Neurospora crassa OR74A: one gene and its partners. The protein of the gene in region 2 purifies or fractionates together with the protein of the main gene of each other region. This does not show direct contact. Links are inferred from orthologs where the notes say so. Each region holds a gene or a part of one and is shown on either strand. Other genes may lie near its edges.

The links.
Region 1: the proteins of NCU09349 (region 2) and NCU03669 purify together in Saccharomyces cerevisiae (affinity purification with mass spectrometry; 3 studies listed by BioGRID). This does not show direct contact. The link is inferred for Neurospora crassa OR74A from reciprocal best matches to the Saccharomyces cerevisiae genes HAS1 and SPB1.
Region 3: the proteins of NCU09349 (region 2) and NCU08595 purify together in Saccharomyces cerevisiae (affinity purification with mass spectrometry; 11 studies listed by BioGRID, with this or other methods). This does not show direct contact. The link is inferred for Neurospora crassa OR74A from reciprocal best matches to the Saccharomyces cerevisiae genes HAS1 and RPF2.
Region 4: the proteins of NCU09349 (region 2) and NCU07795 purify together in Saccharomyces cerevisiae (affinity purification with mass spectrometry; 4 studies listed by BioGRID). This does not show direct contact. The link is inferred for Neurospora crassa OR74A from reciprocal best matches to the Saccharomyces cerevisiae genes HAS1 and RRP15.
Region 5: the proteins of NCU09349 (region 2) and NCU05235 purify together in Saccharomyces cerevisiae (affinity purification with mass spectrometry; 3 studies listed by BioGRID). This does not show direct contact. The link is inferred for Neurospora crassa OR74A from reciprocal best matches to the Saccharomyces cerevisiae genes HAS1 and RLP24.
Region 6: the proteins of NCU09349 (region 2) and NCU01203 purify together in Saccharomyces cerevisiae (affinity purification with mass spectrometry; 3 studies listed by BioGRID). This does not show direct contact. The link is inferred for Neurospora crassa OR74A from reciprocal best matches to the Saccharomyces cerevisiae genes HAS1 and RRP17.
Region 7: the proteins of NCU09349 (region 2) and NCU03794 purify together in Saccharomyces cerevisiae (affinity purification with mass spectrometry; 5 studies listed by BioGRID, with this or other methods). This does not show direct contact. The link is inferred for Neurospora crassa OR74A from reciprocal best matches to the Saccharomyces cerevisiae genes HAS1 and PWP2.

Annotation. Positions count from the first base shown.
Region 1 is NC_026505.1:2,021,302-2,025,484, reverse strand, and holds the start of NCU03669 (AdoMet-dependent rRNA methyltransferase spb1), read right to left. Parts: upstream 2,801-4,183; 5' UTR 2,658-2,800; coding exon 2,490-2,657; intron 2,423-2,489; coding exon 646-2,422; intron 579-645; coding exon 108-578; intron 29-107; coding exon 1-28. Other genes in the region: NCU03668 (WD domain-containing protein), read left to right, coding at 3,851-4,183. UniProt on the Saccharomyces cerevisiae protein: Required for proper assembly of pre-ribosomal particles during the biogenesis of the 60S ribosomal subunit. Specifically methylates the guanosine in position 2922 of the 25S rRNA at the stage of 27S pre-rRNA maturation.
Region 2 is NC_026502.1:4,196,553-4,200,608, reverse strand, and holds NCU09349 (ATP-dependent RNA helicase has-1), read right to left. Parts: upstream 2,726-4,056; 5' UTR 2,583-2,725; coding exon 966-2,582; intron 897-965; coding exon 777-896; 3' UTR 501-776; downstream 1-500. UniProt on the Saccharomyces cerevisiae protein: ATP-dependent RNA helicase involved in 40S ribosomal subunit biogenesis. Required for the processing and cleavage of 35S pre-rRNA at sites A0, A1, and A2, leading to mature 18S rRNA.
Region 3 is NC_026501.1:9,517,966-9,521,365, forward strand, and holds NCU08595 (ribosome biogenesis protein), read right to left. Parts: upstream 2,198-3,400; 5' UTR 2,096-2,197; coding exon 2,082-2,095; intron 2,016-2,081; coding exon 1,907-2,015; intron 1,837-1,906; coding exon 1,514-1,836; intron 1,444-1,513; coding exon 864-1,443; 3' UTR 501-863; downstream 1-500. UniProt on the Saccharomyces cerevisiae protein: Required for biogenesis of the 60S ribosomal subunit.
Region 4 is NC_026505.1:268,756-271,873, forward strand, and holds NCU07795 (DUF1665 domain-containing protein), read left to right. Parts: upstream 1-1,245; 5' UTR 1,246-1,414; coding exon 1,415-2,440; 3' UTR 2,441-2,618; downstream 2,619-3,118. Other genes in the region: NCU07794 (2Fe-2S iron-sulfur cluster binding domain-containing protein), read right to left, coding at 2,880-3,118. UniProt on the Saccharomyces cerevisiae protein: Constituent of pre-60S ribosomal particles. Required for large subunit rRNA maturation, in particular processing of the 27S pre-rRNA at the A3 and B1 sites to yield 5.8S and 25S rRNA.
Region 5 is NC_026504.1:5,664,041-5,667,573, forward strand, and holds NCU05235 (ribosome biogenesis protein RLP24), read left to right. Parts: upstream 1-1,414; 5' UTR 1,415-1,564; coding exon 1,565-1,640; intron 1,641-1,724; coding exon 1,725-2,329; 3' UTR 2,330-3,033; downstream 3,034-3,533. UniProt on the Saccharomyces cerevisiae protein: Involved in the biogenesis of the 60S ribosomal subunit. Ensures the docking of NOG1 to pre-60S ribosomal particles. Activates and recruits ATPase AFG2 to cytoplasmic pre-60S ribosomal particles.
Region 6 is NC_026505.1:3,223,999-3,226,960, reverse strand, and holds NCU01203 (hypothetical protein), read right to left. Parts: upstream 1,589-2,962; 5' UTR 1,469-1,588; coding exon 1,238-1,468; intron 1,167-1,237; coding exon 702-1,166; 3' UTR 501-701; downstream 1-500. Other genes in the region: tpm (tropomyosin), read left to right, coding at 1-106, 233-395; NCU01202 (hypothetical protein), read left to right, coding at 1,919-2,010, 2,162-2,535, 2,600-2,818, 2,880-2,962. UniProt on the Saccharomyces cerevisiae protein: Essential protein involved in ribosomal RNA processing.
Region 7 is NC_026505.1:2,437,194-2,441,291, forward strand, and holds the start of NCU03794 (periodic tryptophan protein 2), read right to left. Parts: upstream 2,801-4,098; 5' UTR 2,627-2,800; coding exon 2,496-2,626; intron 2,429-2,495; coding exon 1-2,428. Other genes in the region: NCU03795 (cell division control protein 12), read left to right, coding at 3,865-3,969, 4,041-4,098. UniProt on the Saccharomyces cerevisiae protein: Required for bud-site selection and cell separation. Also involved in nucleolar processing of pre-18S ribosomal RNA.

The DNA of each region.
Region 1 (4,183 bases), on a different chromosome or scaffold from region 2:
GGATCCACCATCTTGTACCTGCCCTTGACTATAAAATTGAAAAAACCGAGTTAGCATCATTCCAACATAAAGAACACACCAGATCTTAAGGTAGTGATAGTACGAACCTCCTTTAGGTCTGCCCTGGAGACCCTTGTTGGAACCAGCAGCCTTGACAACCTTGATAGGCGCCCTCCTCGTCTTCTTAGCAACCGACGCCATGAGCTTCGAAATGCTAGCAGCCTTTTCCTTTTCTGACATGCCATCGTCACCGGCAAGCATATCGGCCTTCTTCTTGAGCTTCTCCAGCCTCTGGGCCTGCTTGAACTTCTTCCTGGCCTTGGCCTCGGCCACCTTCTTGATAGGACGGGCGTTGTAGGCCCGGAGCTTCTCCTTAATGGCCTGCGCTGCGGCCTTGGTGATGGGCTTGTGCGGCTTGTCGTGCTTGGACTCGTCGTCAAGGAACCAGTCGGGAAGACCGTCGCGGTCCTTGAAGGCGTGCTTGGTGTAACCGTCGTCGATGACGTCGTAACTTGTCTTCTCGCCGGTCGCGAGCTGGTGGGCGAGGGTCATGGCCTCGGCGGTGATGATGTCGATGTCTGTAGTTGTCATAGTCAGCCATTGCCCTTAACAGGTCATACTGAAGAGGGACTGAGTGAAACTTACCAGGCCTGCCGTTCTTCTTCTTCTTCTCAACGTTCTCCCAGTCGTCATCCTCGTTGTTCTTGACAACCTCGAAATCGTCGTCGTCATCGCTCTCCTCGGCCGCCTTCTTGCTCTTGGCCTTGGTTTCCTTGGCTTCCTTCTTCTCCTTCTTGGTAACCTTGAGGTCCTCCACAGCCTCAACAAGCTCAGCCTCCTGAGCCTCCTCCTCCTCAGATTCTGGCTCCTCCAAAAGTCCTGGTATCTCCGCAAAGATACCTTGACTGAAGAAGTTCTTGGCCCGCTTGGACAGACCATCCTTCTCTTCTGGCTGGCCGTCTAGATCTGTTATAAGTTTCTTGCCAGATTCACCATCCTCTGAGTCGGAATCATCATCACTGCTGTCCACTTCTAGTTCCTCATCGTCATCGTCGTCGCTACCCTTCTCCTCATCGCCAGATACGCCTTCCCATTCATCGTCGCCGTTCTCTTTCCTGGCCTTCTTGGCACGGTACTTGGCATCGGCCGCCGCCTTCCGCTCCCGGTACTGATCGTACAGGTTGTCGAGCTCTTCCTCCAGACGATCGGCCTCCTCGTCGCTCTCGTCGGTTTCGCCGTCGGAGCCAAAGTCGTAATCCTTCGGTTTCTCGGTCTCTTTGATAACGGCCATCTTGCCCTTGGCGATCTTATTCAGGGCAGCGTTCTGGTCGATAGTCTTGAGACGGAACATGGCACCCTCACCACGGGGACCTTCCTGCTCCACACCAATATCCATGGGCGCAGTCATGTTCATCTGCATGCGGACAATCTCCTTTTGCTTCTTCTCATTCTCGCGCCTCCTCTCGCGCTTCTTCTTGGAGGTCTCCTTCTCCTTGATCCTTTGCAGCTCCTCCTGGATCCTAAGCTCCTCATCCATGTTCTCCACTACCGCAACCTCCTCGTCCACAGCTGCCTTCTGGGTCTTCTTGGAGGGGAAGCCGAAGATCTCCCGTACTTTTAGACGCCATTTTAAGAGAAGCTTGAACTCTTTCCTGCCGAGCACTTTGAGATCGGCGCAGCAGAGACGGATTTCTTCGGTCGTTTCGGGGAGCTTGTCGAGGGCAGCCAATGCTACATCGCCGTTCTTGGGTTGCTCAAAGCTGAGTTTGTTGTACTGGCCGAGAATGGCGATGGGATCGACAGTGTTGATGAACTCGCTGGCAGAGATCTCCTTGAACTGGGTGTAGTCTCCCTCCTCATAACCCTCTCTCTTTCTCTTCTTGACTTCGGGGTTGTACACCTTGGCTTCGTTGTTGGGGGCGGGGCCGGCCACATCCTCGAAAACGGAGCGGGGGTCGAGAAGCTTGGGGTCAATGCGCTTGGGGGCCTTGAAGCCGCGGCAGACGACGAAGATTTCGGCGGAGACGTTACGGGACGAAGGGGGCTTCGTAGCCTCGACCTTGGCGAAAAGCTGGTTGCAAACCCAGAGAAGGGAGTTGTAGTCCTTGGATCTGAACACCTTGGTGACGAACGTACCGCCCTCAATAAGGAACTCGGTGGCCAGCTTTAGCGAGTGCAGGGCAAGTTCGGCCTGGTTGTACGAATCCTGGACCCAAGCAGTACCGACGTTGGGCGCACCATCGTGAAGAACGACGTCGGCCTTCCATGTCTTGAGATGGGAGCGGATGGTTGCGCGACACTTTTCGGTGGTGATATCGCTCTGGAAGGTAATGACCTTGGGGATGGGCTTGATGGGAGCAAGATCGACACCGATGATGATGGAGTTTGTCGGCATAGTCTCGGCGCAGACTTGACACCACGACTAGGGACGGACACAGACATGGTTAGTTCACTCCATGATAAACTGGATGTTCACGACTATGACTTACACCGGGCGCAGCGCAAAGATCGAGAGCGACCTTGCTTTTCTCGAGGAATCCATACTTCTTGTTGAGCTGGATCAGCTTGAAGGCGGCACGGGCACGATAACCCTTCTCCTTGGCAAGCTTGTACCACTTGTCAAGACGGCCCTTGCCGTGTTTCTTTTGGATCGCCATGGTGCCGGTGCTCTAAGTCGGGGGGTGTTTCCGACTGGTGTTGTTGAGCAGGACGACCTGGTGACTTTTTTGGGTTGGTGAAAATGGCAGTCCGGGTGCCCTTTGACTGTTCTTCCCTCCAGCACTCGCAGCGCAGGGATTGCAGGGTCGTCGTTGCAGAATGATTTTTTTGGATGACAGCTGCAGGGCGATAAGCGATAAGAGACTGGACTCCGGCGGCTGGTGGGGCAACGAGCAAGACGGGCCCCATCAGGGTGGGCCAGACATCCCGCGGTTGAAGTGCAGTGCATTGACCAATCTTCATGTCTTCAGCAACCGCGATTTATGGGACGAAAAAGCCATTAAGCTTTCGCGATGCAGCGCGTCATTTGTTCCCGCGTCTTCGCGTTCCCCTGATGGAGCACTAAACCGCATTCCTTCTAGGCGCCTCCCCCCCGACCCCCGGCCGCTACGGACCGCACGCCCAGCCTCTGCCCACTGGAGGAGGTGTTCAATGGAGTCCATGGGTGGTCAGGCCAGGTCAGGTCAGGTTTCCATGGCTGTCGATTTGGTTGCCCGGCAAACCTAGGTACTCAAGTGGGAACTCAGCAAAAGCGTAGGTACTTCTAGGAACTGAACCACGCAAGGGAAATCCACAACAGAAACGAACAACCAAATCCAATTCCATCACATCTCCACCTACGCATTCAATTTCAAGTCCATACTACCAAGGACACACTTACACCAGAAACCGACATAGACATACCCCTTCCGGCCGCACCACTTCACTCAGAGGACCCATACTACTACGACCAAATCCGCCAACCAATAAACTCGGCGCCAATACCTTACGCCCCCCCCGGCCGCCTACCTTGTCTCTCAACGACGACCTCGACCTCCCGTCCTTCTTCAAGCTCAGCCTGCTTGCTGCACACAGCCTAGCCTGCAACTTCGACGTCAGCCCTTGTCCAATATCCAGTCGACACTTGCCAGCAATACCTCTGCGCCAGCTGTTGCTCAACTGATTCTGTACAAATATCCATCACCACAGCCTGTTCTCTGTCTCCGCGTACCCTTGCCATCGGCGGCCCCTCGCTGCCAGGTCGCGCGCATCCAGCGTCGCCGGCCCCGTGTACATCGTCTCTAGGTATCGTGTTGCATAAGCGGCCTGGACCCAGCTCTTCGCTCTGGTAGTCGAAGAGAATCCTTTCGCCATGGCCGATAACTCCAACAGCACTTCAACCCCTTTGGGAGTTAAGAGCTCGTCGTCGTTGAACACCAGCAACAACATTCCCCCCATTCCGTCCTCTCCTCCTCCGCGAAGCGCAGCCAAGGAACGTCGAAACCCGTCCATCACCCCCCGGAAATTCAGGCGCTTCTTTACTCCCCGAGTCATAGCGAATAACCACCCCAGCGCTTCCCAAAGAGCTCTTCGTGATCTAGCCGGTCCTCTCATAGAACGATCTCATACTCCATCCAGTCCTCTCAGGCCCATCTCGGAAGAGGAAATCCCAGATGTGTTACCGAGCCTTCAGGATGGCCAGAGA
Region 2 (4,056 bases):
GAAGTGATGGGAAGGGAAAGGAGAGGATATTGGGAAAGGGGAAGGGGAGGATATTGGGGACGAGGTGAAATTTGGTAAAGTTGTTAGGTTGGTTTGTGTCGGGGAGTTTCCGTCTGTTATGTAGTTCAGGTTCGGGGGGTCGATTGGGGCTGCAGATAGAATAGGTATCGATGTAGGTCGTTCTGAAATAGTAGACTGTCATCAGTGGGTTGTTTCATGCTTTGTTGTTGGAGGTTAGTGTTGAGTTGGTACCGGTTGTCAGCTACCTAATTTGGGTATTGATTATGAATCCCTACAAAGGATCCTTGATAGAGAGTGACACTCAGGACCTCCATGCTTTCCATCAGCCATATCAACATCACGATCTTTCCAATTGCGTAGCAAAATAGATATGATGTGGTTTGTTCAAGGTCTTTCTTACCATTTATCAAATGAAACTGTCAGCATGATAATATGTTCCATCCTCACATGGAAAGACACCCGAGATGACCGAACGGCACAGCATCAGAAATACCACACCAACGGAGCAGCAACGTAAAGTAAAAATTAATTGTTGATTTGAAGCCCTCCAGTTTTACTTTTCAACCAAAAACGCCTTGGCAGCTTGCGCAAACAACAACAAGTAAACAGCAAAGTAGCAACACAAAAGAAAACACCCACTATGCTCCACACCGAATGCCCGATGGATATCTAAGAGAGAACATTGACAAATCATCATCCCCTTTTCGTATTCTAACCAACAACAACAACAACACGAACACCGAATCCCGCCTCGCTTAGTGACGGTTCTGCTTCGGCTGGCTACCATACGCTCTCCTGCTCGTCTGCTTCTTGTCACGCGACATGCTGGAGGCCAGGGTGATGTCTACCCTGGGAGGGGTGGAGAAGCCGAAGGACTGTTTTTGTAGTACGTTAGTGACTGTTCTGGTGTTGGGGAAGAAAAAGGGAGAGAAGAGAAAACATACCTTGGCCACCTTAACCAAGTCAAGCTTATGGATATCAAACACCGACCGCAAACTGTGCGAAGCATAGGCGTGGAGATACGACCTGTAACCGTCCTTGGCGCTCTGGTTAAGGTAGTAGTTCTGGCCGATCAGCTTCTCCAGCTGGGACTGAACGTTGAGGATCTTGCTCTTGGGGAAGTCGTATTCCACAACGGGGACCTTGGCGGCCTTGAGATGGGCGAGGAAACCCAACTCGTTGGGCTGGAGGAAGAGCAGCGAACGGCCCTTGGTGTTGTTACCACGGGCGGTACGACCGACGCGGTGAATGTAGTCGCGCGGGTCATCAGGAGGATCGAACTGGACGATCCAATCAACGGCGGGGATGTCGAGACCACGGGCGGCAACGTCCGTGCAGATGAGGGTGCCCTGCTTGGCGTTGCAGAATTCGAAAAAGGTGTTTGTGCGCTTCTGCTGCTTCTGCTTGCCGTGGAGATCGAGAACCTGAAGATCGATGTACTGGAGAAGTTCGGAGTAGTACTTGACCGAGTTGCAGGACGAGAAGAAGACAATGACCTTCTTCTTCTGCATCTTCTTGAGGAAAGAGAAGAGGAGCAGGAAGCGCTTGTCGGCGTCGACGACAACGTAGCCTTGGTCCAGACCCTCGACCGTGCTGAACTGCTTCTCCTCATCGACGTTGACGTAAAGAGGACCGGGACGGAGCGAGATACGGGCGAGATCCTCAACCTTGGTGGTTTGTGTGGCGGAGAAGAGCATGGTCTGACGGTCCTCCTTGGGCAGGATCTTGATGATCTGGCGCATTTCGTCCTCGAAACCAATCTCGAGAATACGGTCGGCCTCGTCGATGATGAGCGATCGCATGTTCTTGAACACAAAGGGAGTGTTTTGCAGGTGATCGAGCAGACGACCGGGAGTAGCAATGAGCAGGTTGACGCCCTTGCCCAGCTTCTCGGCCTCAGCACGACGGTTGGCACCGCCGATGACGACACCGTATGTTTGGGAGTGGTTCTTCATGAGCTCGCGGGCGACGCCGAAGATCTGGAGAGCCAATTCGCGGGTAGGAGTGACGACAATGGCACCGGTACCGTTTCTCGGCTTGAAGCGCAGGGAGCTGAGCATCTCGATAGCGGGAATGAGGAAGGCGAGGGTCTTGCCGGAACCGGTCTTGGCCGCACCGAGGACGTCCTTGCCGGCGAGCAGAGGCGGGATACCTCTCCTCTGGATCTCGGTCATCTTGGTGAAGCCCATTTCGGCAATGGCCTTCATGGTCTTGTCGGACAGGTTGAGCTCGGAGAAGTCGGTGGCATTGGTCGCGATGGACGGGGCGATGAGGGAGTCGTTGGTCTTTGTGAGTTCGTCGCCGGCCTCAGCGTCCTTGTCGTCGCTGTCCTCCTTGTCCCCGTTGCCGGTGGGGATGACCTCGTCGCCATCTTGTTGTTCCTCCGCCTTTTGGGCATCGTTCTCCTCCTCGGGGGTGGCGTCCTCGACGACCTCTTCGGCGGCCTTCTTCTCCTTCTTGTCCTTCTTCACCTTCTTGGTCTTCTTGTCGGTGGCGGCGCCATCTTCGGTCGCAATCTTGGCGTCCTTGAGCTTGCGCTTCTTGCTAAATTCGGAAGCCATCGTGATGGCGTGGGGGGGTTGGTACTGTCGGTGGGTGGTTGCGATACTCTGGGAAAAGGGCGTCGCAATGGTTCCGTTCAAATTCCCAGCGAGTCGAATCTGTTATCCTTCCTCTGCCTTCTCTTTCGCTGGGGATTTTTTTCTTATCGCTTGTTCGATAACCAGGGATTACACCAGGCGGTGAAAATTTTGCCAATTCTGCCCTCTTCTCCTGATGAAAACCTGGTCTGTGCGCTACAGCCGTCCCAGTGTTGACCCCACTTTTGACTGCAGATCAGCCGAACCCCGGAACCCGCCAATTGTGCCCCCAATTGCTTGCGAGAGTCGAGAACTGAACTTGTCCATTTCCTCTTATCTTCAAATCCGCATTATGTTGTTTTCTTCTCTGATATTCGTTTATTATCACAACGCTTTCACCTCTCCTGCAATTACTCCAGTCTGTCATAGACATGATATACTCAACGTAACCGCGTGTAGTCGGTCTTTCATGTTCGTTGTCCCTCTCACGGAATTAGGCTCTGGATGTCGTCCATGGTGGCATTGCTTTACACTGCGGATATTCAAACGCTGTACAGTACCTCTGAGATCCTGGCATTGCAGTATTCTTCTTATGTTACATTTCTATTCCAAAGGTTTAGTGGATTGAGACAGACCAGTCAATAGCCTGGTGGACTTTGCAGTTCCCGTCCAGCGGACGACTTCGAAGGCCTTGACACAAGTCCATAGTCAGGCTACGGGTTGCCTTGATCGATAATCGATAATTCGGGGCAGCTGGAAACTTACCCCGTCTGCGGGATACAGGGCGCAAGATTGGAACGTACCAGTCAGCTTCGAATCCAGGTCCCTGGGTTGGAAGTGTCACTCGCCGAGAGGCCCCTGGGTCGATACATAACAGTACACATGGCAGATCAATATCCTCGCATCATTACATTGGCTGAAGTGAAGTTTCATGAACCCCTTCGGAATCCTTCATATTCTCTCAAGGCTGACGGGATGCTATCTTGGTCACGTCGGAAGTAACAACACCTTTATTACATGAAAACATGATCATTTTCCATGGAGTTGACCGAGTCACAAGTGTGGTTCGGTCTTTGGCTCACTGCTGCCTTGGGTCGCATCTTTCCACGATCTGAGGCTGAGAATGGTTCCAATGGGAGGTATCAGCACGGAAGTTGATGTTCATGATATAATCTGGTCCCATGGCCCTATTCTTCAACACCACTCGCTCAACACCACGGACAGACATCACGGAAACAATCCAGAAGGCATCCCATAAAATAAAATCGGACAAGAACTTCTGGTTCTTGAATCGAAACCACGTTTATGTTAAATCTCGATACACTCTGTATCTCACTTCCCCGTCTTTCTGCTGCCAAGTGGTGCCCCAGGAGGCGTAGACACGGCTCAAGCCGATCGGGCTGGTAATTTGGCTTCGAATTGCCTAGCTCCCGCTTGCCCCTTGCGATTGACTTTG
Region 3 (3,400 bases), on a different chromosome or scaffold from region 2:
ATCTCGAGTCTTAACTCTTTGGTGGGACTGGCTTTAGTCTCTTTATAGACAAGCATAAGGAAGCCATCATTGATTGATACAACTCTGCTCTAACAAACACAATTTCTGGTACAGGCATTTCATTCATAACCTTGTAGTCAGTCAACATATACACTAATCAATCGTTCTCGGCATGGATATTTGGTTTCATAATTTTGTACTAAATCAGTCTGCAGACTGCCTCACCGACACCCCTTATAGACGTTTCCAAACCAAAGATCGAAACAGGGAATAGTTCATAGGTTTTCCTATGGTTGTACATGATTATGGCATTGTCTTTTTTCTATGATTATAGATAGTTGCAAGGTAGCAAGGTAGCAAGGTAGCAAGGTAGCAAGGTATCCAGGTAGAAGAGGGAAATAGCATGAGTGCCATGTGATAGTAGGCAGCGAGTGCTGACAATACTAGATTCTTCCAAACAAAGCTGTAGCGGCAAATTCGGCCGGTCGATCGGTTGATCCTATGGTCCCATATGTTGGTTGGTATAAATATCACGTATATGCTAGATAGATGTCTAGGTCTACAAGCTTTGGCAAGGCAACTTCACGAACAACCCATCATCCATCAATAACTCCAGCTTTGGTCATCTCTTCTTTTCTGTTGATGATCTGATCTGGCATGAATGTTCATCTTCCCCAAGAGCAGCAGCAGCCAATGATATAAGATAAAGTAAAGTAATAAAACTAAAAACTCCCAAAAACGCCTTGTGTCTTGGTGGATGATCGCAACAATTGTGAGAGAAAAAAGATTAAACCTCCTCCCTGCCTGCCTTCTTCTTCATCCCCTCAACCCCTCATTCTCCCGTCTCCCTACTCTTGCTCAACTCAAAACTCAACGACATCCCTCGCCTTCTTCTTCCTCGGCCCCACGATCCTGTCACTGACCTCCTTGACGCCCTCCATCGGCATATCCGCATCATCAAAGTCCTCATCCACCACATCCCTGCTCCTCTTGAGACCCTTCATCTTTCTCGTCTGCAACTCGCTGAGATCCAGCTTGCCCATATGGATCCTACCAATCTTGTCACCGATGCTGTCCATGCTGATGTTCTTCTTGGTGCGCTCCTCGTTGGTCTTGGGCTTGCGCATCGCAGCCTTGAGCATGTCCGCGTCGGGCTGCTGGAGGCGACCGAGGCGGAAGTCCATGCGGGGGCCGTGCTCCTCGACTTCGACTCGGGGGAGCTTCTGGCCGGAACGCTTGGTGCGGATCAGGTAGGCGCGCAGGTGGAGGGTGGGTTTTGTCGAGGGGTCCGAGGGATCGGTGGAGGAGGAAGTGGGCTCGTCGGCGGAAACGACAACGCAGTACTGCAGACCCTCAACGTCGATCTTGTCTGAGGGCTCGCCGCGGAAGAAGTCGATGAGCATGGATTTGGCGGTGGTGAAGGCGTTGGGGACGGGGGATTCGCTGTGGTACTCGGTTAGCTGACGTTCATTCACTACTCCTTCCTCTTTGTCACAAGAATCGGGGGACATACAAAGCAGTACCGGCGAACACCATCAAAGGCTTGGTGCCTACGGGCACCTTCTTGGTCTTGAACTGGGCAATGCTGCGGAAGGTCTCGGGGTCGAGGTAGAACTCGAGCATGTCGAGCATCTTGTAGTCGAAGGTGCGGCAGAAGGTGATGGTGTGGGGCCTCTTCTTGCTGCTGGAGCCGAAGAGGATGAGCGAGGTGTCGTTCTTCTCAGAGAAGAAGGTCAGGGAGCTGGCGTCCTCGAAGGGGTGGACGGGGTTCTTCTTGTGGAAGCGCTTGGCGTGGGTTTGGCGCAGCGAGTAGAGATCTTGCATGGCATCTTGGGTCTGCGGACTGTATTAGATTTTGATGATACCATCATATATAGGAGGAGAGGATATGGAGGAGGTGACATACGACTTGGCTGCAGGTGGTGCCGCGAAGGAAGAGGGCGGTCTTGGGGTTCTCATTGACCTTGGGGGCACGCTTCTCGAGCGCCCTCTTGGAACGGGCTGTCCGCGGCTTGCTGTGCGGAGAAGAGAACTGTCAGCTAATGTTCGGTATGTTCCATTGTCATGATCGATTGACGTACACTTGGCGGAGCATTTTGGCGGTCTGGTTATGCGATGACGGTAGTGGGTGGATTGGATAGGTACCGCAAGGTGGTGATGTGGACTGGGGACTGTCTCCTTCACCTGCAAATCGTCGTCGTGATGGTCGAGCAAAGAAATTCCAGAACGGCGCTTATCGATAAGAGGAGACCTTGAACTCGAAATTTTGTGGGGCAGGTGGGGTCAAGATTGTCCGCTCGTCCACTGGGCGCTGGCTTTCCCCTGCCTGTCGTTCAGGGGTTCACGGGCTGTTAGGTTCCATTCCATTTCACGCCTCAACGTCACTGCAACGGCAACCAAAATCATTTCCATTTCTGCCGTCTCATCACAATTAGGTTGGTGATGGAGTCAACCTTGAGTTCCATATTCTTGTTCTGATCACTCGATAATCACTTGCTCTTTGGGAAACAAGCATTGAGCAATATGATTGCCAAGTCAGCAACATCACAAAACTCTGGCATCACTCTTACAAGGTCAGCACACTTGAGAAGATTCTGAATACACGAAGCCAACATATTGGGATGGTGTTCTTCTACACTTCGGGTTCACAATACAGATTCCTTAAAACCGTTCTACTCTGACATAAAACCAGATTTCTCCAGTCATTGCTCCCGGCGAGCATCAAGAATGCTCTCATCCACCTACTACGGACCTACCTGGCCTGTCGTTCTCTAACACCATGAAGCAGTTCAGTATAGCTTCCCTCCTCTCACAATGATCTATTTCGCCATGTCCCCTCTCTCTCTCGTGGTCGTCTTGACTGGACCATAAATGTAGGATATCCATCCAACCTGATGAGACTCCCCGGTCTCTTTCCCCATCACGTCCAAACAGCCCATACCCATCCCATCCATACTTTGCATGTATCGTACAACCTCCGGAACGCATCCCATTCACGTGGTGGCTTCTTTTACCGTTGTTCCATGGATCCTCGGCACTCCTCCTTTCACCGCCTCCGCCTCCGCCGTCACTAGGTATGTATGCCATCGGGAAGCTACCTACCTACTTTTCAACGGTTTTGAAAAAGGGCGATTGCATTCTCGTCAAGCCCAGCCCATGCCACTGAAACTGAAACTTAAACTGTCCGCAGCTGTATGTATGTATGTACATGTGGAGTGTTCGGAGACTCGGGCATTAGGAATGCATTTTCGAAAAGTTCTATGCAGTTTCCCGCGACTGAGAAGCCTGGGATGCAAGTAAACTGTCGTGACTCGTGAACTCGTTGGAAGCATGTTCCCGTGAGGGTGTGGTGAGAGAAGGAGGTTTGGATGCGGGTTGTTCCGTGCAGGCGCTCGGGCCA
Region 4 (3,118 bases), on a different chromosome or scaffold from region 2:
TGCATTGACTTAGCTCAGGTATGAAGATTGATCTTCACGATACTTCCGTATCGGACTTGCTTCTCGGATATCATGACGAACCCGTAACCGTGTGCTGATATCCCACCTTTTCACTTGGCGTTGTTCCATCTCTGGAAATGAACAAGTTCATGACGTGCTTTGCTTCTACAGCTCACATCGAACTGCTTCTGCTCCATGGCAATGGTGTTTTATGAGACCGTGACCCAATCACTTACACGCAAAGTTGGGAGAAGCGACCTAGCGACAGGAAGGTGCGAAGCTCAAAGTTCAGGACCTGAGGGCACCGATCCAATACTCTTCCTCCAATCGCTCACCCACGTGTCACTACCTACTAGTAAATGGCGCGAGATGGCAGGCAGTAGCAGCTTGGATGCTCCACGGATTTCTAATACATCGAACCTGGTCACTCCGTCAGGAAAACCTGGCTCGGGAAAGTAGGGAGGTACATGTACTGTAACTGCAGAAGCGTGCCTCTTGGATGGCAGAAGCTGTGTTCTGTAGAGGAAGGTATGTACAGCAAGATAAGAGGTATCGTGCATGGAGCCGTAGCGATCGATGTAATGCGAACCAATTCAACGGTGGCAGTCGGATTCATCTAGGTTCCGCTTGCGTATGTCCAACGTGAATTAACCTGTAAAACCCGGAATTGACGTGCATTACTTACCTAATCGAGCTCAGGTATATCGTCATGCATCGTTCGACTGTAAATGATGTTCAAAAGTTTCAACATTCAATTGGTCGCCGAAGTGCAACATGCTCAGACAAAGGTCTGTACATTATGCCGACCGCTGTTCATCGAGGTGCTCAGGTTCGGTCCAGGGGCAGATCAACTTTGTTAGGTCTCGTCGCTGCCGCCCGTTTGTGAGTAACGTGTCCTGAGACCATATGCTTGAGATCGTATCGATCCAAAGCGCGAAATGTGAAACACGTAGACAATTTCATACTGTTCGATAATGTCAATGTCGAGTTGTCATGGGAAGAGGTTGTCGTCGAATTGAGCCGTTGAAGTCACGGCTTACTAGGGTTAGGGGTGATTCTGATGACGGCAGAGCGGGTCCACCGTTCATCCCCGCTGGGCTGCCCTTGGTTCCACCAAGTGTGGGGTTGACGCAAGACAGGGACAGGGACGCAGGGCATATTGCCGGCCGCGACCGCCAAAAATTTCTGAGTGGAGAGCACCTCAGCAATTGGGAAGTTTCGAATGGAGGGACCTGCACTCCGAACCTCGACCATCTCGGCAGCACCTCCAATCCGCGATAAACAATTCTGCCCGTATTTCTCCCCCTCGGCTTGATCAGCTGGCAAATCGATCCCAAACACAACCACTATTCCATCTGCTTAATTCACATACAACCTACATCCAATCAAACCAGACACACACACAATCACAACCATGGGCATCACCAAGCGCAAAGAAGGCCCCAGCAGCAAGGGCAAGCCCGTCCGACCGTCCAAGAAGCAGAAGGCGCAAGCATTGGCCGCCTACCACAGCAGTTCAGAGGAGGAATCCGACAACGAGCAGCAAGATGTTGAAGACCAAAGCGACGAGGAGGCCGGCACCTCCGCCGTTCCCGCCCACCTCCTCGACTCGGACGACGAAGACCTAGACAACCTCGTTGCCGACGATGGCGCATCCACAGACGAAGAGCAAGCATCCGACTCTGATGATTCCGAAGCCGAACAACCATCAAACAAGTCCTCCAAGAAGTCGCAAACAAAACCCAAATTCGTCGCCAAAGACGCCCCAGATTCCGAAGACGACGAGGACGACTCCCTAGACGGCGGTTCCGACCTGGGCTCCGACCTCGACGATGAATTCGACCTCGACGGCTCGGGTGATGAGAACGGCAACAGGAGACAAACCAAATCCAAGCGCAACGATCCCGACGCCTTCGCCACCTCCATCACCAAAATGCTTTCCTCCAAGCTGCCCGCCTCGCGACGCGCCGACCCCATTGTCGCGCGCTCCGCCGAGTCTGCAGCCGCCGCCAAGTCCCTGGTCGACGCAGCGCTCGAAGCCAAGGCGCGCAAGCGTTTGCGCGAGCAGAAGCGTCTGGCCTTTGAGAAGGGTCGGGTGCGTGATGTGTTGGTCCCTAGCAAGACTAGGACGCTCAACATCCAGACGGGCGAGATCGAGGAGATTCCGGATGGAAAGGAGGGCGAGCAGACGACGGGTCAGATTCTGGAGACGGAGAGGAGGCTGAAGAAGACGGCGCAGAGGGGTGTGGTGAAGCTGTTTAATGCGGTTAGGGCGGCGCAGGTCAAGGCGCAAGAGGCGGAACGGGCGGCGAGGCAGGAGGGAATCGTGGGTGTGAAGAGGAGGGAAGAGAAGGTTACGGAGATGTCGAGGAAAGGGTTCTTGGACTTGATTGCGAGCGGTGGTGGGGGGTTGAAGAAGGGTGGCTTGGAGGAGGCTTAAGGGAATTGCATTCTGGTGTAGAGGGGTGATTGTTTATTGTGTTTGCATATTGTCAAGGTCTAGGCTATTTTCTTATATACAACCCCGTGCCCTTGATCTGGGGCAAACAGTTGAACAACGTACAAGCCCCATGCAGAAGTATGAACAGTCAACATGCTCTTGCCAATCCGTCATATCCATCAACATGAACATTGCCCATCACAGATATCCGATAAACTCTGCGCTGAACGCCGTCGCCTCAACAATCCGACAGAAATGGAATAGATGTCGTGTTTGTGCCATATATATTCCGTCGTCCGTCTCCATTTTTCTTTACACCACAGTGAATCCCCTGCCCCTTCACCTCTACCTTCTTCTTCTTCTTCCTCCATGCTCAACCCTTCATCGCCTGATATTACCTCCCCCCAATCCCATGTCATTCATTCCATGACGGCACGGTCTAGGACTTGAAATCACTAGCCTGCAAATTCCTCGTCATGCTCGGCAACTTGACCACCAACCCATCCAACTCCTTGGTCATGTGCACCTGGCACCCCAGCCGGCTCGTCTCGGTGAGTCCAAACGCCAAGTCCAACATGTCGTTCTCGTCGTCGTCGGGCTCCGGCATCCGGTCGTACATGTCCTGGTCCTGCACAATGACGTGGCAGGTCGAGCACGCGCAGGAACCGCCGCAGGCGC
Region 5 (3,533 bases), on a different chromosome or scaffold from region 2:
TACTATGTCCAACGGCTTCTCGAGACCTGGAACCGTCTGGCTGAGGCATGGTGTAACCCAGGATTGAGCGGGGTAGGAGTGGCAGGCAATATCCAAAATCCAATCATCTCGAGTGGCTGGACGTCACTTTTGTATCACAGCGGCCCGTCTGTGAGTTCCGTCGTCTGATTCTGTGATGTCTAATGGCACCACGGAGCGAGGAGTGGTCCGGTGCGCGTGTGCTGTGGCTGGGGGAGGAAGCAGTAGGTGTTGGGTTTGTAATTTTGATCCTTTGTACATTTCAGTAGATACCAAGTTTGAGAAGGAAGATTACGGTGAACCGCATGGGATAATTACCGACAAGAAACTGGAAAGAGATAGCGACATCTTGACTTTCCTATACTTAGTGTACGGTTTGTATCAGGAAAGAACGATCTCGGGACCCTTACTGTCGCAGGGCAGGAGCTAGTCTGGTGGAGCCTCAGGGGAACCCGACTCCACTTTTGACGCTTTCCCCGGATTCCGTCCCCGCATCTTTGAGTTAGCGCTGTGGATCTGATGGGGCTCTCGGTCAGCACCCGACCCTCAACTCCGCTGTGAGTGAGATGAAAGGAGCACTGTGATTGGGGAAGGAGTGAGGAAAGTCCATTGCACTTCAAGTTCAATCTGAGAGACGGAGATGCGTTATATCAACCAAGTGTCAAGGAAGACCTCTTTTTGTGTAAAGCCTAAGTAGTCACCTTCAACAGACACTGGCCTACTGCCGACGGAGTTTCCATCACAGAAGGTCTTGATCATTGTGAGAAATGACAGACAATTCAAGATCCGATTTCGCCACAGTCTCCGAGAAGAACTTGACGCCTTCAGTTGTAACTCGAATAGATTCTTCAGACATGGTAAAAATTGCAGTCACGAACACCGATGATACCCGGTGTTGAACATTGTAGAGGGTGTCAGACTTTAATCGTTAGCAGTAACTGATGGGAAAGAAAGAGAGTGGAGCTAGCAATGTTAGGGTCCGCGAGAGTCCTGTTAACAGAAACCAATGCCATCTTGGTGACTGAACATTGTCGCGAAGCGAAAAGATCGTGAGCTCAAGAAGTATTGTTGGATGGATCGGGGAATATACTGATTTGGGAAAAGTAAACATGCCCGTCGACTTGAGCATCATGGCCATCGCTTGTCGAGAGAGCATCGAAAGTAAGCAGCCGCAATTGCCGGCCAACTTACATCGAGGAATCGATCATCGGGAACCATCATTGTCAAATCAAGAGAAAAGAACCGTCTGGGCTGGCGTATATGCACGCTCAACCCTAACCCGAGTCTTGTCGGCTGATAGCACGATAGCGCTAAGATAAGCCAAGCGTCCCCTCCGCCCCACTTTACTTTTCCAACACCGACATCCAGAAATTTTCAGAAGCGGCGCCCTTGACCGTTTCGCTGTTGTTGACTTTGTTGCTTGCTTCCCCCTCTCCTCCCCCCCCTCCCGAACAGACAACGAGCCCATCCTCACCCGGCTCGCTGCTTCTCTCCTCAACCACCACCACCACCACCACCACCACAACCACCCACATAACCCGTCAAGATGCGTGTCGATCCCTGTTTCTTTTGCGGCCGTCCGGCCTGGCCCTCCAAGGGCATTACCTTTATGCGTAACGATGGTATGTTTTTGTCATACTTCAGTTCCCCATCATCAACCTCTCCGTCAAGGCCAATTGCTAACCAGGGTACAACTAATGTTACAGGCAAGTCCTTCCGCTTCTGCCGCTCCAAATGCCACAAGAACTTCAAGATGAAGCGCAACCCCCGCAAGCTCAAGTGGACCAAGGCCTACCGCAAGAACGCCGGCAAGGAGATGGTGGTCGACAGCACCCTGCAGTTCGCCGCCCGCCGCAACGTGCCCGTCCGCTACGACCGCGAGCTCTTCGCCAAGACGGTCAAGGCCATGGAGCGTATCTCGGAGATCCGCCAGCGCCGCGAGCGCATCTTCTACAAGCGCCGCATGGCCGGCAAGCGCGCCCGCGAGGTCGCCGCCGCCCGCAAGCTCGTCGCCGAGAACGAGCACCTCCTCCCCCGCCTGCGCGGTTCCGAGAAGAGGAGGCTGGCCGAGCTCGCCCAGGAGACGGGCCAGGACGTCGAGGAGCTCGAGCGCGAGGAGCTGGCCAAGAAGGCTGCCAGCAAGAAGACCAAGGCGTTTGGCGGCGAGGTCAAGAGGCTCCGTGTCAGGACAGACGGCGGCGTGGAAGAGATCTCGGAGCGCGTCGCTGGTGGAGGCTTGGTCGATGAGGATGACGATGACGAGAACGATTTCGAGGACGTGGACGATGACGACGAGATGGATACCGACTGAGCGCCCGAGTCTCTGTAACTATTACTACCGCGACCACCACCACCGCCAACCACCACCACCACCATCACCAACACCGAAACCAGCCACCTCTTTTCTCGGGATCATTCGTTGTTTGCTTGTTTTCTTCGGACGAACTCGCTCCCGCGGCTGTCGATATCCCTATGCGGGGGAGGGTTCTGCTGTATTTTTTCGGCGGCCTTTCCTCGCCACTGAGACCTGCCTAGTTGACACCAGCAACAAAGCCCAACTACGACGAACGGGTCTTGGTGTATAAAGACGGAACGACCAGAAAGAGGACAGGACAGACAGCAATTGGTTGACCAACAGCCAATACTCTAACTGTAAAAACAGTAACTGTGGCTTTGGACAGACAGACAATCCTCCCCCCCGAGCGATGGCTGCTTTCGGGGCTTGCTTATACCCCTTGCTTGGTTGGTTGGTCGTTGGTCGCTACAGGTCATTGGAAAGATTCATTATATTCAGAACCATGGTTTTCAAGGGGGGGATCAATCAGTCTACCTTTAGTAGCAAAGCATATTTTCGGTTTTATTGGAATCGGCGAATTTGGCGTTTAATAGACACGGGGAGACCCACAATATGAAGTACTTGTTTGTTTTTTTCTTTCTGCCATGTCTTGTCTTGTTTTATAGTAGTAATCCTCAGTACTTTCTGACTCGACAAGTTACTCGTTTCTGTCTTCTGCCAACGTGACTGACCTCTGTAGCTCGAGACCTGACTAGGTATCCTAGCCAAGGATATATCCAAGGTCAATCTTGGACTACTACCCGTTCGTTGATTCCATCTTGCACTCAGTCGACAACACAACAACTCTAAACAACACCTAAAAGACACAGTTGGTTCAAGTCGGTAACTAAATACAAAGTATTATATCTTTTATCATTTGTATTATTATAAGCGTTAAGACCCGACAAAACCAAACCAACCCCTTCCTTCGCATGCTAATGCTCCGATCGCCTTGCTTTAGCCAGCCAGCCAAACCGTAAGCACAAAGCACAGCCAAGTTTCTCATTATAGTTTGCTTCCCCATTTGTCAGGTTGTCTAGCCCACCCACCTCTATTTCCCTCCCCCCACCCCCCATCATCATCATCATCAAGTTCCATCTCATTCTCTCATCATATATTTACCCCATTATATCGTTAACCTCGTTAACATCGTCAACATGATCATCATCCCCATTGCTGT
Region 6 (2,962 bases), on a different chromosome or scaffold from region 2:
ATGGCGCGCAACAAGGCACTCAGAACGAGACGCTGACACGGAGACTTCAACTTCTTGAAGAGGAGGCCGAGGAGGCTGACAAGACTCTCCGCGAGACCAACGAGAAGTACGTTTGCATCGAAATACACGCACCCCTGGACGATGAGATGGGGGAGGGTCCTAACCCCTGTGCCCTTGAACCCCTTTTCTTTGCGACACCTTAGACTAACATGATGTTTTCCTCCTTCAACAGGCTTCGCCAGACCGACGTCAAGGCCGGCCACTTCGAGCGCAAGGTTCAGGCCCTCGAGAACGAGCGCGACCAGTGGGAGTCCAAGTACGAAGAGATGGCCAAGAAGTACGCCGAGGTACAGAAGAGCTTGGAAGAGTTCCAGGCTGATATTGCCAACATCTAAGTTGGTTAACGGATGCAGTCGGAACATGGTGGAAATTCCTTTCTTTACGTTTGTTCACAGCGTCACCGCATCGATAATATCAGCCTGACCCTTTATGCCGTTTGTCCTCGGGTTGTCGAGTAGGGAGATAAGACGGACAAAGCAAGCCGTTATCTAACTCCCGCGTACAACTCATATTGCCTACTAGTTCAAAGCATAATCCATCATCCCAGCATTGCACATACAGTACTTAAACAAGATCTAGATATCGTAAGGGATACCGCTGTCAGGAATAGCGGTAGATTATTTCCTTCGCCATCTAACCTATCACGACCGCTTCGCTTTCTTTGCCCTCTGTTTCCTCTCTGTGACGTTTCGGTCATGTCGGCTTTCGTATGTGAATTTTCTCTTCTTCTTTTTCTCTGGGAAGTTTCGTTTTGATTTCTTGTCGGCTTCCTGCTGCGCCGCCTCTTCAGCCGCCTTCTTCTTCTTGTTGTTCTTCTCCGTCTCGGAATCTTCTTCGTCCTTCAAGGTCCGTGGTTTGTGGATGCCGTCCCTGTCTACGCTGACGGCTTCTACTGTCACGGTCGTATAGCGGTCTTCATCGATGTACTCCTCCTCGACATCAAGCGCAGGCTCTTCCGCCACATCGTCTTCGGATAGCCCATCCCATTCGTCGTCTGACTTGTTCTCGGTGGGTTTGTCGTCGGTACCGGCACGCTCTGCCTCGTGGAGAAGCTTGTGCACTGTTTGGATATGTTCCTCGAGGTTCTTCTGCCGCTCCTCTCTGATCTGTACCCGACGTAGATTAGACTTACTGCCATGGAACCAACCAAGAAAGACAGCGGTCATCCGGTACGTACCTGCTTTCTCAACCTAATTCGTTCCAGCCGTGCCTCTTCCTCTGCTTGCGCCTTCGCAGCCTTGATTCGGGCCTGTTTACGCTTGTGGAAACCGGTAAGATATTCGGTGCGGGCGTCCTTGTCGAATGTGATTTCCTCGACCTTGTGCACTATCTTGCGTTTCTTGGGTGGCGGCGCGAGCCCACTCTTTTTGGGCCTTGGGGCAACAAAGAACGCTGGATCCCTCTCCATAATGGCTTCGAGGGTTGACTTTGAGTGGAAAGTTCGTTTGGTGGTTTTGTGGAGAAAAGGGAACAAGAAATCGAGGTAGAGGTAAGGGCGGGAAGGATGTTTGGATGCAGCGATCTGGATGCTCTGGGTTCAACTGTAAATTTACTGATAGCCACCCCCCTGTTCAAATGTTCACTCGAACGGGGCACCATGCAGGAAGCGGCCTTATCGTATTCTGCCCTATTCTACCGCCTATCTCTGATGTCCATAGCCTGCCGGTCACACCCAGCACCCAATCCCATGCATCAGACGTCTGGCGCTCTCTCAGTGCAGTGACATCCACGCTCCCGGGCTCTGGATCCTGGAGCTACACCACGCTGCCAGTTTGTACACTACACCATATTCGCATATCCAACACAACAACCGACGACGACGACAATATCGCAGACAGTTTGGCATAATCTGTAAATCATGAAACTCTCGATAGTAACAACTCTGCTCGCCTCTACGGCAGTGCATGCCTTCTCGGACTCTTCACCATTTGTCCTCTTTTCCACCTCCAGGTACGTCATGTCCCAATTGTCGCCGTGGGTGGTGTCCCTTCAAGTTGCCCTCGCGCCATCACGATCTTGTGCACCACATCCCACTCAGTTGCGCTTTCATGCATGTGACTTCGACTGAAGATGCTGACCCTTGCGAAACCGTGATTTCCAGGCTCAATACACCCGAAAGATACGATCAGCTCCAAACCAGCAATCAAGTGATTGCTTCCGCCAAGGAGATCCTTTCCTCTTGTCCTACGAAAGACTACGTTATCGTCTCCCAGCCGAACGTGCACGCCGCCGACATCCGCGATGGCTCGCACTGTAAAATGCGCAGTCTATGCGACACAATCGCAAGCAAGGAAATCAAGGGCCGTTTCAGCGTTGCGGAGGTAGTCGGCGACCTCTCAACCCATTCGTTGGAGGATTATGTGAAGGAAGCCTGCGCTGCCAAGGGGAAGGTTGCCGGTATCGTCAAAGTTGACCTCACGCATCTACCTTCCTTGGAGCACAAGGATAATAGGGCGCAAATCCTGGCTTCTAATGGTATGTCTAGTTCGGATCACGGGTCGGCTATTGAATTGCCCCGTACTAACCTGTGCAACTATAGACGATCAGTTGGGCCTGGTGCTCGATACCCTTGAGGGCGACTATACCCTTGTCATGGTATCAGACCCTAACGAGTTCAAGGCTTACCAGCCTGACTTTATCGAACCAGTCCATATGGATCTCAAGCGCGGACAGTTTAGCTCTCAGGAGGGCAGTGACAACGGCAACACCACTTATGATAACCGCCCGCTGTTTGCGAAGTATCAGTTCTTCACTCCTGGTATGTAATCATCATCTCAAGTCGGCGCTTTTTTCAAGGCAGTAGACTGACACTGAACCAGGCATTTTCGTCGCCCTGCTCGCTCTCATTGTCATGCTCTCCATCCTGGGCGTCGGACTGAAGGCTCTCGGTAGTCTCGAAGTC
Region 7 (4,098 bases), on a different chromosome or scaffold from region 2:
AGTCTCCTTAGCAGCGCTCGCCTGACCGAGGAGGTAGTCAACCATGTAGACGTTTTCATCGGCCAACTTCCTGATCTCATCCCTCATCTTGGAAACAGCCCTTGCGACAACACGAAGCTCAACATCGACCTTGCCGCGGTTGGCAGACAACCACGCGCCGTGCTTGTCGACCAGAGCCTTGATCCAAAGAAGACAGAACTCAACGTGAGGGCTCTGCTCGGTCTGCGCGGCAACGTACCGCAGCAGCCTGGCAACGTACACGTTGGGAAACTGCTCGACCACCAGAGGGATGTCGGTGTAAGGGATGGCCTGGAAGACACGCTGGATCAGACCGGCCTCGTTCAAGCGGAAAGCCATGACGAGAGCCTTGAGGTAGTCCTTCTCCTTCTCGAGCACGGCCAGGGTAGAGGTGGGGGTGATCTCCATGTTGAGGTCAAAGGGATCGAACTGGATGGTGGTGTCCAGGCTGTAGATCAAAAGACCTTCTGTGGAGGCGGCGCAGAAAGCACTTCCGTTCGGGGAGAAGGCAACGCCGTTTACTCTCACTTCGGGATTCTTCCTCCGTGCGGAGGGGTCGCCGCGCTTGGAGCCTGGGAGTGACCTGTCTATCCTGTCCTCGAAATCGGAGGCCTCGCCTTGCTCGTCCAGGAGACCCTGGGGTCCAGCCTCGGTGAGAAGCTTGCTGTTGAGGAACTCTTGAGTGCCTTGAATTGAAAGATTGACGCTCACGGTGTACTTCTTCAGGAGAACCATGGTGGTGACGGAGTACAAGCAAATATACTTGCTGTTTCCGCCGGCCAAAAGGCACGATCCGTCTGTGCTGTATCTGATGGTGTTGAAAGCCTTGGTACCGGCAACATTGGCCGCAGTCCTGCGATCACCGATCTTCCGACCGCCGGAGACATCCCTGCGTCCATCAAGACCAGCTTGCTGCTCAGCTTCCGAGACCGACCAGAACGACAGGTTGCCGTCGAGAGTGGAGATGGCAATCTGGAGAGAATCTGGCCTAAAGGCAATGTCGAGAACATCCGAGTTGAGCTGGAGAGGCTCGCTTGTTTGTGTGCGGTTGAAGATGGACCAGATACGGGCAGTGCGGTCCCAACTACCACTCACAAGAAGACCGCCGTTAGGCGCAAAGGCCAAGGATGACACAGGGCCCTCGTGTCCCGAAAGACGATCTAGGAGCTGGCCAGTCTGGACAGACCAAATATGAATGTCGAAAGAGTCAACGGAGCCAGCCGCCACGATTTCGCCACTAGGATCAACTGCCATGCAAGAGAAAGATAGCCTTTCTGGTGCTGTAAAGGTCCTGAAGTTTCTGTATCTGATCAAGTCCCAAGCCCTGATGGAACCGTCCAAACTCGAGGTAAACAGGACATTGCCCTTCTTGGAGAACTCGCAAGCAGTGATGCCGCTCGTGTGCTCTGTGAAGGTAACAATGCAGAATCCCGATTCCGTATCCCACACCTTAATCTTTCCATCATCGGCGACTGTGACAATCCGCTGACCGTCCGGAGAGTAAACGAGGGAGTTCATCGAGTCGAAATGGCCCTGCTGCTTGAGAATGTAAGACTCGGACTGCCACTCCCACACCAAAAGCTGACCAAGCTTGGATGCGCCAAACGCCAGCCACTCGCCGCTCTTGTTGATCGTCACAAAGTCAATTTCGTTCTGGGAGATGCTGAGAGTGTGGATCATGTTGAAGTCGGGCATTTCGTAGAGGCCAAAGATACCGTTCGAGAAACCGGCAACCAGCAAGTTCGATTCGGGATGGAAAGCGGCGCATCGTACGGTGGCGCTGTTCTGCATGAAATAGTGCTTGTTGACTATCCTCCAGGCCAGGTCATCGTCGTCCACCATATCCTCGTCCTGTCCAGGCTTCGCAACGTATTGCCAGTCGAATACGGCGCCGTCCTTGCTGACTGTGTAAATCGTCTCTTGATCCTTGGAAAACCACGCGCCCACGACACCCTGCCTGTGACCGGACAGAACTGTAGGTGTGAACCCCTCCTCTTGATCAACACTCCATATCCTTGCTGTGAGATCCTTGGAAGATGTGAGGAAGAATCGCGAGTCGTGGGACCACTCGATGTGACGGACATCGTCGAAGTGTTGGACGTGGGTATGGTGCTTGACGAAGGGCGCAAACTCGAGCTCGCCGTCGGCGTTGGCGTCGGGTGTTGAGGGAACGTGCCAAACCTCGATTTTCCTGCCGAGTCCAACAATGAAGTGGCGCCCCGATGGCGAAAAGGAGAGAGCCGTTACTGGAGCCTTGAAGGAGAAGTGATATAGTACTACGCGCCGGGGCACGTTGGTGAGAATAGCTTGGCCATCTTCGTCTATGGAGAGTAGGAGGTTGCCCTGGGGCGTGAGACCGATACGCGCAATGTTCTTTCGGTGGGAGAAGGGAAGGGTATATGATTTGTTACTGCGACCGTGTTAGCCAGCTTACAAGCCATGCGCCAGGCAGGTGTGTAGGGAATCTTGAGACGTACTCGACAAGGTTAAAGACTGTCACCCTGTTGCCAACGGGCGAGAAGAGATGGGTACCGTCCGGGCTGAACAAGAGGTTGCCCTGGCAGTAGACTGTGCCCAGTAGATTAGAAAACTTGAAGTCGGTCTTCATTTTCAAACACTATTCCATGCCTCGACTGTCAACGTTGGAGATGGAGCAGAACTGGGATAGTATCTGGGGATTCGATTATGTACAGGAACTGGAGGACTCTTTCGAGTCTGTATAGGTAAGTGGAACAGAAGTTCAGTTACAGGCTGCTGCTGTTGCGCCTAGACCGCCCGTACGTTCAATGGCGATTCTGCCAGCCAAAAATTTCATAAACTTTTTGGCGGGGAATGGAGTCGGGTTAGCTCCTCGCTTTGGCACCAGCTGGCAAAAGACTTGGCGTATCTGGCAGCCTCACCGACCGCAGCGAGACCAACCACTGCACGGCACCACCAAGCACGGTCACCAAGCACAGTGCAAGGCTGGCAGAGCTGGCAATCAAAGGGTCAAAGGGTCGACCAAGTTTCCATGGCAATGAATGGCTGATCACCGCCAATGGCGCTAGCAGGGAAGGCACGCATCGATTAAATGCTCGGCGAGGGTACCTGGCAAGCGCGTTTCAGTGGAGAGCTGCCAGCGTAGGTCCGTCTCTGGGGACCTGGAATTGGGGAAGTGTGGGAAGCAAGTGGAAAAGGGGAGGGTCCACTCATTTCCCTGCCGCGCAGCCAGTCAAGAGCGGCCTTGTGTGGTGGCAGCTCTACACTACTGCAGAATGCCGGGCTCGAAAGGTGCCATTGGATTATATGGATCGTGTACCGTGCGCCTTCTCGGCATCATCACAGACGGCTGCCGTGGCCCCGCCCAGGCACCTCATCTGGAGGATGGAATCGAATGCTGCTTGCTCGCTGCTTGCTCCGTCCGTCTGCTGCCGCGGCCCTGCAGTGCCTGGAGTGCTTGGGGTTCAGTCAGTGTGGGCTAGGTTTGGCCTGGCGCTCCCGTCCCCGTCGCTGGTGCTCTCTCCTGCGTGGGTGTGTGGTGCTGGGTTGGGCCAGATGAATGTGGTGTGGAAATTTGAACAAGTAAATTCCCCTGAACGAAAGCACAGAGCTCCACGACGGGTCCCCCGTCCACTCACCACTGCAGTTCCATCCCCCGTCTGCCTCTCGCTCCCACCCGTCCACTGTCAACACCAACCTAATTTCGATTCCCATTCACGACCACCACCATACCCGTACACCACGCATCCCGCCTGACGCTCTTTTTCTCCAATTGCCGGTGCTTCTTCTCGCCGTTACAGCAACGGGATCGTGACTTAATCCTCTACCCATAATTATCTCCCAGTTTCGTGTTTCGCCCAGCTGAAGATGGCCCCTGCCACTACCGAGAGCGCCTCACCGATTGGCATTGCCAATCTGCCCAACCAGCGACACAAGATTGTTGCTAAGAGAGGCGCTGCTTTTACTATTATGGTGCGCTTCACTGTCCAAAGCTTGCCGAACCTCGCGCTTGTAAAACCAATGCTGACGGCGTGGGTGGATAGGTTGCTGGCGAGTCCGGCCTCGGCAAGACCACCTTCATCAACACGCTGTTCTCCACGA